Linked DNA regions of Oryzias latipes. The protein of the gene in region 3 purifies or fractionates together with the protein of the main gene of each other region. This does not show direct contact. Links are inferred from orthologs where the notes say so. Each region holds a gene or a part of one and is shown on either strand. Other genes may lie near its edges.

What was found.
Region 1: the proteins of cAMP-dependent protein kinase catalytic subunit beta (region 3) and akap7 purify together in Homo sapiens (affinity purification with mass spectrometry; 4 studies listed by BioGRID and IntAct, counting the BioPlex papers as one, with this or other methods). This does not show direct contact. The link is inferred for Oryzias latipes from reciprocal best matches to the Homo sapiens genes PRKACB and AKAP7.
Region 2: the proteins of cAMP-dependent protein kinase catalytic subunit beta (region 3) and vapa purify together in Homo sapiens (affinity purification with mass spectrometry; 4 studies listed by BioGRID and IntAct, counting the BioPlex papers as one, with this or other methods). This does not show direct contact. The link is inferred for Oryzias latipes from reciprocal best matches to the Homo sapiens genes PRKACB and VAPA.

The regions. Positions count from the first base shown.
Region 1 is NC_019882.2:15,864,171-15,867,923, reverse strand, and holds the start of akap7 (A-kinase anchoring protein 7), read right to left. Parts: upstream 2,299-3,753; 5' UTR 1,877-2,298; coding exon 1,703-1,876; intron 1,590-1,702; coding exon 1,379-1,589; intron 650-1,378; coding exon 491-649; intron 415-490; coding exon 266-414; intron 1-265. UniProt on the Homo sapiens protein: Probably targets cAMP-dependent protein kinase (PKA) to the cellular membrane or cytoskeletal structures.
Region 2 is NC_019875.2:4,825,141-4,828,856, reverse strand, and holds the start of vapa (vesicle-associated membrane protein-associated protein A), read right to left. Parts: upstream 2,834-3,716; 5' UTR 2,730-2,833; coding exon 2,672-2,729; intron 1-2,671. UniProt on the Homo sapiens protein: Endoplasmic reticulum (ER)-anchored protein that mediates the formation of contact sites between the ER and endosomes via interaction with FFAT motif-containing proteins such as STARD3 or WDR44.
Region 3 is NC_019875.2:26,776,964-26,780,716, reverse strand, and holds the start of cAMP-dependent protein kinase catalytic subunit beta, read left to right. Parts: upstream 1-1,437; 5' UTR 1,438-1,681; coding exon 1,682-1,727; intron 1,728-3,753. UniProt on the Homo sapiens protein: Mediates cAMP-dependent signaling triggered by receptor binding to GPCRs.

The DNA.
Region 1 (3,753 bases), on a different chromosome or scaffold from region 3:
CGACTCATTTTGATCACTCCTTAACCCATTCGCACCTGAATTTATTTCTAATTATATAAAAATATAATCTTCCATGTTCTTTCTGGTGATGTTAAATTTTAGAAGCAGTCGTGGATTTGTAGGCAAGTTCTAAATGAGCAACAGACGACTTAAAGGGGTTAATAAAGGAGGATGTACATGTCAGATAAATTAAATAATAAACTCATGTCCTCTAAAACCGGTTGTTTTTGGGTTGTTTTTAATAAGGCATTGGTGCAGCTTTTACCTGAGTATTAGTGATGGGGATGGAAAGGAAGTAGTTGGGTCGCTTGCTTTCTTCTCTTTTCTTCTTTTTACCGTCTCCGTCCTCCTCGCTGTCCACTCGGTCGCCCCTTTTTCTCTTTCTCTTTTTCTCTGCTGCCTCTGGGATAGGGACTCCACGGGAAAAAAGACAAAGATGCTAAAACCCCACTACCAATAGGTTATATTTAAATAGTAAAAGTGTACATACAGCCCAGTTCTTTCCATGTGGTGGGGCTGGTAAGTGCAAATGGAAGTTCTGACATCAAGTCAGCAGAAATATTAGAGGCCTTGAACTTTTTTCTAAATAGATTCTTCTTTTCCCTCCTCTTTTGACTCTTTGAGGGTTTCTTGCTTGATGCTGGAGGACCTTTAAAGAGCAAACAAAGACATCAGGTGGTAGAAAAGTATTTAAAGTCCCACTTCAATCATCTTTTGATCTATTTTCAAAGCGTTACCAGAGGTCTTTTAATTATGATCATGCCACTTTTAGCCTAAATCAAACAACCTGTGTGATTTTGGAGGACATAGTTTCTGCAGAGCAGCATTGGTTTACAGCCACTCACACCACCAACCTAACATTAGTGGTGCAACAAAAATGGCAAGCGACATTGGAGCTATCCAGCCAAACAGTTTATATCCAGATTCCAGCTCAGACGAGGAAAATAGAGACGTACATGGATCTATTTGTCTGTATGTGGATGCATCAGAATGGAGCTTGTGGCCCGTCGGAGTAGTATGTGTCAAAAACCTACAAGGTTTTTCTAACAGCATTTTTGTATCTGCTCCAGATTCACAATGATTAGAATAAAGAAAAACTTTAAAAAGCTATTTTAATCTTACTTTCTTTATACAGTATATGTCCTACATCAGAAAAATTCTGCAAGAACATGTTAAAAACACCCGAAATGCCATTTTCATCATAGTGGTTTTTTTTCCAAACTACCATTAAAAGTACAATGTAGGCACAAAAAATTGAAGTATTAAAATGCAAGATTGCTTAAAAACATCTCTTTGAAGCCTTTATCTTACCTATAGGCGATGCTGCTGACTGAAAAAAGAAAAGATTTTAGGATGACATAGTCTATAATCTACTTACCTGACAATTTGGAGACTTCATTGACAGCCATGCTCACTGTTTCCACCTGATCTGTGGTCATTTTGTGCTCCAGAGGCGCTCCAGGCTCAGGTCCATCCCGACTTTCTCCTCCATCTTCCTCATCTTCATCTAACCCTACTTCTATGGTTTCTCTTCCATAGATGGTGGCTGGCTTCATGTTGTGCAGGTAAAGACCAGTCTGTGCTCGAACCTTTAACAGAGAATGTAGATAGTTGGGTTACTAAAATACCATTTCATTCTGAAAAAGGAAACTGATTAAAAGGATAAAAAAAAAAAAAATAATCAGGCTGAACTTCGGATTACCTGATGTCGGAACGAGTGTACAGGAGGTTTTAAAGCTGTGACGTTTCCGCAGCAATACGTATACACAGAAAACTGCTTCTTATAATTATATGACAACTCTTTGAATGCATTTAGTAAATCGAGAGTTTTTGAGAACTGCAACGTGAGGTTAAATAAAACACGACCAGAGAACATGACACATTGACAACAGAGGTAACAAACATCTAGATCTACCTCAGAACAACAGAGCCAGAGTAAAGGTAATGTATACGTTTTACGAAAAGCAACATTAAAAAAATAATAATAAAGCTTGCAACTGTTGAATGAGTTAATGTGGAAGAAAGAGAATATCTGCTAACAAACTTACTGGATCATCATGTAAGTTACCTAGCTAACTGTGATGCTAACTTCTTGTACATCTGAACACAGACTGCCAATTAGCCAATAAAACTAAATAAATATTTTTAACATGCCTGTTAATGTGTGGGTGGCCTTTTGTCTACCCTGTAGGAACCATGCCGCCAAAAAACTGCACAATTCGATCAAATAGACGTTCAGTTTTAGCACATGCAGATGGAGGGCTACTAACCGGATGCGACCGTTTGTAAACACACGTGACTTCCGGCCAAGTTATTGTTTTTTAATTGACAAAATTCCGAATTAAAATCACACAGGTTTTTTCGTTTTTCCCGTATGGAAAATTGAAATCCAAAACACAAGGCAGTATACCATCTGACAAGTAGTAAACTAGAAAATATTAAAAACAAAATAGCCATATAACACCAAACTGAGAGTAGCAATAAAATAACAATTTATTAAAAGTAAATTAAAAGAAACAAATAAATTAATCCAGAGAAACCGATAAACAATTCAAAATTTTTATAGTTTTCTTATGTATTTTTTCTATGGATAAAAAAAAACATGAGATCGTTTTTTTAAATACAAAAAAGGTGGCATCTCTTTCAGAAACGACATTTATGAATAAAAATACAAATAAATGTTTTTTTAAACATTTATAAAAATAAACTGGATTATTTATTTTATTTTTTGTACAAACAAAGTGAATGTTATGGAATTAAGATTATGATTTGAATTAGGATTAAATTAGAATTACGATTCTGTTTTTTGTTGAAACTATATAAATCCTTCCAGAAAATTTCAACCACATTACAACAATGAAACAGGTGCTTTTGGGTTCTTCTGGTCTAATTTTCAAAGCAGCGTAAAAACTACGACTTCAAAGTAAAAAATAAAAAAAGTGTGAAGCAAAAATCCAACTTACATTATCTTGATGCTCTAAACCAGGGGTGTCAAACTCATTTTAACCGAGGGCCACATCAGCATAGTGTCTGTCTTCAAAGGGCCAGATATAACTTATACATGTAACTAAATGTAATGAAAAATAACTACCCCTTAATGTTAAATAACTCATTGTTTATTTATTATAACTTTTTGAAGTGACAATTACAGTTGCATAGAAACATGTGTTTGCTTGTTACTTTAGCATTAATCTTTTAAATTTGGTTCTGTCAGGTTAGGTTATATAGAGACAGTGTTTAAGTCCTAATGTATAGTTGCCACATCCGATATTTCAAGTCCAATTCCCCCTAGATATGAATAAATACACACCAATTTTTATTTTAAGAAATTAAAAACTTTTATGCTCTCGCGGGTAGAGCTGTGACATGTCGGATTTTTGATCACCACGGTGATGAACCACCAGGGGGCGCGGTGTCGCAATTAACCGCAGCCCCCCCCCCCCCCCCCCCCCCCCAAAAAAAACCCCCACACAAAATCCCCGGGTGGCCGCATGATAAATAAATACAATTATAAAGTAGTATTCTTTATTAACAAATAACAGTAACAACTAACTACTAACTATCTAACTCATGAACTAATTATATATGTGTTGTAGATTGACTGTGACTGTGTGAGCGCGCTGCGTCGTGTGTAGGACTGGGAGGAGGGAGCACGTGTGTTGTTGGGGGTGCGTGTTGATTCTTCTGCAGTCGACCGCTCTCTAGCTGCACGCGAGTTTCACCTGTGCTCTCTGACATCTTCTCAGAATATTA
Region 2 (3,716 bases), about 22 Mb from region 3:
CAGTCTCACTTGTTGCTACAACATTACCCTTTGTCTCGTTTGTGATACAACTAAAAAAAAAATTCCAAAAGTTATTCCTCTACTTTTGAGCTTCATATCTTTCCACAACAAAAGCACATTTCCTAGCCTTTTCTCCTTTCTACTATAAGTCACAGCAACAAACTACTGACAAACTACTGCACCTTGTTCACGCTTTCTTTACAGCATTAAACATCAGCACACCAAAACAGATTACATCAGGTTAACTATTAAAAAACTGCCCAGAAAACTTCTACTTAAAAAAAAGAAGAAGAAAAACTATAAAAGGGATTATTCACATTTTATTATTTATTTGTAAATGTCTTATTTTCAGTTCTTAGTCTGCATACTAAGTTAAAGAGGGTAGAAATAAATCTTATTATATAGAACCATAAAAATGTAACAGTTCAGAATTCTGACTGTGAATGCTGAAAGCATTAAAATGTGAAACTCTGGACAGAAGGAATTTCATAGTAAAATAATCAAAGAGGTGTCAAACTAAAGTTTCAATTATCATATGATCAAAAGTAAACAATTACAAATGTAATACGGATTTCAAACTCTGCAGAAAAGAGGAGTTCCTACATTACCCAGGATCCTCTGTTTATGAGGCCCTTTTATAGTGCTGTTGTGGGGGAGGGGGGCAGCAATCAAGCTCCATCTCTGAAAGTCTAACCCATGTGTGCTCATGATTGGCTACAGTGGTAAAATACATGTATATTGAAGGTTCTTATTACTACAGAGGCACATGTTGGCTCTGGCATGATCCATGCTCCCATCAGTCTAGGTGATTTCTGCAGGTGAGCAGACATCCACACTGAGAACCGAAGACGAACTCTATAACCTGTTCAGACTGACTGACTTCATGTCTGAGTGTTGCACCACCAGGACACTTTTTTTGTTTGCTGGCGTCTTTGATCGCACAGGCACGAGGATGCATAAACAAACTTGCATCTCCAGGGATATGCATTAAAATGTTGTTGTTATGAAGGGACGAGCCTTGTTAACTCTAAAACCTCCTGTAACTGTGAAATAAAGGATAAAAACTCACTGTACAATACTCCTTATCCATTTAACCCTTGTGCTATCCTAGGCACTTTAACGTTGGGAGTTGGGTCATCTAGACCCACCAGACAGTGCTCTGAACCTTTTTTCTTCAATGATTTGTGATCTTCACTGGTGTCCATGGATTACATGAAATCTTTCCACCTTTATCCACGGTAGGGAGAACACGTCAATGTAAGGTTGGGGTCATCTGGACCCCACATGATAGCACAAGGGATAATGCACACAATTTCTTTAGAGTAAATATCTTTCTGTGCTTCTAGAGTCCTCAGGTTGCCCAACAAAAATGTTGTTTGCCTGCAAGCTCAGCTTCCTATCAAAGTATGCATCTAATCAGTGTTTTTGGTTTAAGAGTGTAGATTTGATCTTCTATCATCACACCTCCTGTGTGATATACAATGACCACTCTAAGACACTCTTAAACCAAGTGTGCAACGTTGTGCTGCTAAAACAGATTCAAGCACATTTTTTTTGCTCTTTTTAAAGTTAGTCTTCTAAAAGCTGGTGAAGTTAGAGCCAGAGAAATTCAGTCATATAGCAGCAGACTGACAGGCATCGGCTTCAGCCAGCAAAAGAGAAGGCCATGCTTCCAGCACCGACAACACCAGAACTAATGCAAGAAAAGCAGAAAGGGGCCGAAAACCCAAAGAAAGCAATGATTTGAGTTAAACAGCCCCCTAAACAAGCTGTGGGCTTTCAGCACCTTAACCTGCATAGCAGAGAGAGAGTTTGCTGAGACTAGATCCTCCGAAAATAAAACCCTGTTAAAGCAACAGTTGGTCCGAATGAATATCGGTTTAAACAGGGATTAGAATCAAAACAAGCATTTTCCCCCACTCCAATGAATGCTAGCTCCAAGTTTGGCATTAGCAGACTAGCCTGGCGGCCGCTAGCCAACTCTTTCCTGCCATGTTTCATCCTTATCATTACCAGGAAGAGAATCATCATCAGGGCAGAGCCCTCTGCTCTCTGACCACCAAAGGAATGGAAAAGGACCAGCACCGGCCACTGCAGCTTCACAGTCTGACACGTTGAAGGTTGGAGCAGTTAGCCAAGTTTGTCATTCAGCTGCGAGTCACTGAACCTGTTCATCCACAACTGTCACCTTAAAGTCAGCCTGTTTTCATTTCCAAGTTAAGGCCACATCACCACCGACTCCTATGCAGCTGGGGAATGCAGGACCATCATGCCCCCCGGCCGGGAAAGAGCACGGCGCTGATCCGCCGCTCTACTCCACTATTACACCCAAGTTAACAACTGGACAGTCTTGGCAAACGTGCGGCGTGAGAAGTTCATGTCTGCGTCCATGCGCCACCACTAAACACAGACCAAACGTTTTCCAATGATCTGCCAGGCGCTTATTCAGCCGTGTGTTGGTCACGAACAGCAGGCCGCGTCCATGGACGCCACGCCGGCCACCCGCTTCACGAGAGTCCGAGGCTCCAGCGGCCCTCCGCTTCCTGGCTAATTTAAAATGGCGGTGAACGCTAGCTAGCCTGCTAGTACCCAAACATGTTTGACGGAAATCATTCCAGTCATTTCCACAGAGGGAAAATGTGACACTGGATGGTCTTTTCCCTCCACATACCTTTAAATTTGAGGTCGGAAGGCGGGTCGAGGATGAGAACCTGTTCCAACTTGGACATTTTAGCGCGGGTGGTGATGCACTTGGTGTGGGTACGCTGGAGGAGTATCTGACAAGTGGAAGTCCCGGATCCCCTGCCACTTCGGAGTCAACCGCGGACTGACTGACTTCTGCGAGCCGGAGGGCGAGCATGTGGCTACAAATAGTTGAGCGCGCGGGCACAAGCCTGAGCGGCTTCCTCGCGGCTCCGCAGCTGATCAGATTACAGCACAATCCAAGTATTTTCAGTTTCAAACTCGAATACTTAGCAGCACACACACACCATAAGAAAAAGTAAATGAGGATAAAATAAAGTTTAAAAAAAATTGAAAGTGTAAAAAAAGTTTTTTATGCCAAATGAAACAGAAATCCTTTAGCATGAAAATGTCTTTAATACTGATATTATTGTACAGTAAATTGATCTGTTCAAAGGCTTTAACAGAACAAAGTTAAACTTTTCAAGTGGATTATCATAATGACTAATACATCATTCTAGCATTATATCACTGTTTAAAGTATAAAGAATAATAAAGGCACTTTTGTGGAAATGAAGGCAAATACTTGTAGGAAATATTCCACCAAATTGAATATAAAAGATGGCATTTTCAAAAGTTTTACTATTTCTATCTCACAGGCATTACAGTACTTCATCTTCCAATTTACAGCAAGAAGTTTAATCCCAAATCATCCGTATAAAATCTCGATCAATATGTCTTCACCTCCAAATATTTCAAGGTTGGCTTCAACAGGTTTGTGCCACTTTTTATGTAAACAGATGCTAAATATAAGCACTCAAATAACATTTAATAGTATACAAGATATTAAGGCACAGCGGATGCTGGGAAATGTTTTTCTTCTCCTTAAAAAGGCTTCAAATTATTCTCAATGTCAATACATTTAATTTACTCCAAAATCATCTGAACAGAAGAGAAAGTGCCGTTCTCCGTTTTCCAATGGAGGAGTCGGGCAAAACAAGCAAAACAGCATTTAAATACGACTTCCATCTTTG
Region 3 (3,753 bases):
CGATGATTTAAAGACCTTTTACCAAATAAAAGGGGTTTTTTTTGTTTGTTTTTTTTCGAACTTTATTGAATGTAACAATTCAATACAAAACAATGTTAAACAGCAACAACGAAAGAACAAGCCAGGGGGTTATTGTTTCATTTTACGCAGATATATTGGAACTGACACACAGACCAAATGTTTTGATGGCTTTCTAATTGTCAGAGTTTCTTATTGTGTTAATGTATTGTTTGAACTCATTGATAAAGTTTGAGAAATGAGGGGTATGATTCGTAACTTTTGATTTATGAATGTGCCATTTGCATAAAAACAACAAAAGGTTAATGATGTACAATTGTTCTTTTTTATGAGATGGACAGTGGGTGAGGCCAAACATAACATTTTCTAAGTACAGGCGAAAGTCACGGTCAATGTGGGCGGAAATGAAATGACAAACTTTAGACCAGAGAGTGGTGGAAAAGAGACATGACCAAAATAAATGTACAACATCTTCAGGGTGTTCTTGACAGAAAGAGCAGGCAACATCAATATTTTCTTTGAACCTTTGCAGATATAGTTTGGATGGATAGAATTTTTGGATCAGTTTGAATGAGATTTCTTTCACTTTATTGGTTAAAAAGTATTTCGCTTTCCAGATCTTTTTCCATTCTAAATGACAAACTAAATTATTCCAAAAAGAAACTACGTAGGGAATGGAAACAACATCCTTCTGGAAGAGTGAGCGTATACGGTGATTTGTGTTACGTGAAGAAGAAAAACAAATTTGGCCTATTTCTATTTTAGTTGAATCAATTGGTAATAAAGTTGGACTCTGCAATGATGAGCTTTTGAATAACATAGTAATAGATTTAAGAATTGCTGTCAAAACAATGTTAAACTCAGTTTTTGGTATTTTGATGGAATAATTGAAGCAGAATTCTTCATGTGACATCAAAGATCCGTTTGAATTAAACAGCTGATGGACCAAAAGGATGTTTTGATTAAACCATGATGGATAAAATAAAGATTTAGGTCTATATGTAATGTCTTTATTGTTCCATATGTCGTATCTATGTGGAAAACAATGGTGTTTGTAAATAAGTGACAAGGAAAGTAACATTTGTTTATGGAAGCAAGAAAGCTTAATTGGGATCTTTTGTACATTATAGTTACAGAATAAAAGAAAGTTTATGCCACCTAATTTGGAGAAAATGTAATTTGGTATGAAATTCCAGATTGAAGTTGGATTCTTAATAAAATGTCTCAAATAAAAGTAAAGCAACTGCAAAGTACGAGTCTAAAAATGCGGAAGCAAGCCCGGATTAGCATCTTGTCACCGACTCGTGGAGCCAATCCGAGCCCACCGTGAAGGCAGCTGAGGGCCGGGGAGCAGCTTAGTCACACAAACACCAGTGACCGCTAGCTCCATGCCAGCCGAGCAGGCAGCAGCCGAGTAGCAGCAGCGGAAACCGTTCACGGGGAAGGAGGAGCGGGAGAGGGCGCGCGCGGGGACCGCCGGAAGGGACTCCAGACATCACCTCCCCTCATTTCCAGTAGAAAGCGAGAGTGGTTTGTCCGTTTCACCGGAGGAAACGCCAAGACCTCCGAATCATCAAGTGGAAGGGAGGTTAGCTAGCCTGCACCGCCGTCGCCGCCGCCATCTCCTCCTCTAAGTCGGAGCGGCCGCCGTGTCTTCCACACCATGGGGAACGCCGCCACAGCCAAGAAGGGCAACGAGCTGGAGAGCGGTGAGTGTGCGCCGGGAGCGGGCCGCCGTGTTCCGCTAGCATCCACCATCAGAGACGCCGGTGACACTTTTTTTACAGCGGCGACGCGCTCGTTTGCTGGAAACCGCTGTAGAGGCGGTGAGGGCCGGCCGCTAACCCGACTTCATTCCTCCGTTATCTGCCATCTCTGCGCGAACCCGTCCCTTCTCATGGCGTGAAAAAAAATGTTGTTGTTTTTTTGCACATTATTGAAATCACAGTATTTAAAGAATTAGTAAGTTGTTGGAAACCCCGAGACTGTGTTGCTGTCTTGCATCCCGGGAGTGGGGAAGAGAGAAGCAGAGAGACGAAGTAAAAAACACGCTGCTAAAAAAAGACGCTCCCGAAAGATATGAATCTTAATGAATACCCAAAATGTTATAATTGAAAGTTTGTGTTGGCTGCTAGTCGGTAACGAAATCTGGAGAGGAGCTAGCTTGCTAACTTTAGCTTTGAAGGGGGGGGATTAGCCCTCATAAGGCCCCTCGTTCCCCCTTGGAAGCTATTTAGGGCCGAGACCGTTAGCCCCGGCGTGCGGTCATTTCCTGTGTCCGGCCTGAGGCCGTTTGGTTGGCCGTGTTTACATTGAAGGCATCATCACCTTCGCGTTGTGTCATCCCGGGCTTCTGTCTCTGCCTGACAGCAGGGGGATGTGGCTTTCGCTGTGCCTTTTGGCTGCGGGCTCACCGCCACCATCATCATCATCATCATCAGCACAGAGCCAGCTGTTGAACAGAAATTTGGATCTCGAATCTCCAGTAAAACTTAACTTTAAATGAAGCCCAAGAGCCGTGACTAATTGGAGTAAACGGGCGTTGCGGTTCACTTTGAAGTCGGTGAGCAACTGCCCCCCCCCCCCCCCCCCCCTCTGGCTTCAGTGCCACGTTTTATTCTTAGGCGCATAAACAAAACATTCCCTCTGTACAGCGCCATGACCAAATATGGTGAAGAAATGACAAATCCCTTCTTTCCATTCATAAAACGGGGGCTTACTACTGCCTTTGTGGCAGATGTGTGCACACGCTTAAGAAGAAGAAAAACAAAAACCCAACACCATCGAACCCCCCCCCCACTTGTGTTTGTGTTGAAGCTCTTCTCTAATCTTGCCGTGGTGAAGGTCCATCAGGGCTCACTTCTCACACTCGGCTTGTCATTGACTGGAGCAGCTTGTCATCGGACCTTCGTCAGAGGATAAGGGGGTATTACAAGCTTTGAAAGGTTTGACGTAACTGGACCTGGGCCAGTGTTACTTTACGCTCATATAGTCTGATGTGTGCAGCTGATCATCATTGAACACCACAGTAGTAAATCAGAACTGTTTCCTCATACCTGGTCGTAAACCGTGAAAGTTGTTGAGATTTATTGTGTTTTCTGATGACCACAAACGTACGAATACGATGGAAAGCACCTCTTCTTTTTCACAGATTTTTTTCTTCTTCTTCATATTTTTGATAAAAGATCAAGGTTTTGCTGTGACTCTGCTTAAAATGCTTGAACCAAGAATCCAACCAGCAGCCTCTCCGGAGACAGAGATGATCAGATTAGTGATGGAATCGGGACTCTTTTTCTTTTAAACGCACCTGTGATCCCCGTATCTTGTGCGGCGGCTAACTGTTAAACCTGTTTTAAGATGACACGGTGCCCTGACTGGCAGATTTGTTTCTAGCGTAGCTGCTCCCGACAAACAACCAGGTAACCTACAGCGCCTGGTGTTTACTGTACACTAAGGTCAGTGGCTGCAACAGTTAGATCATCAGCGCAGTCACGGATGGACAGCAAGGTTTAACTTGTGCCGCCATGACACCGATGGCCTTTCACAGTACCCGTGTTTCTGTGTTTTTCTGGTTTGACAGGAAAAGTAAACAAAACTCATTAAACAATTTACTTTTTCTTTTAACCCAGAAGAACCCAGACCCACTTTTCCTTAAAAATAAAAGACCAAGCGGACCACTGAACATATTTTTTGGTGTGTTTTTCTGTTACACTGATGTCACCCCCCGGTTCCTAT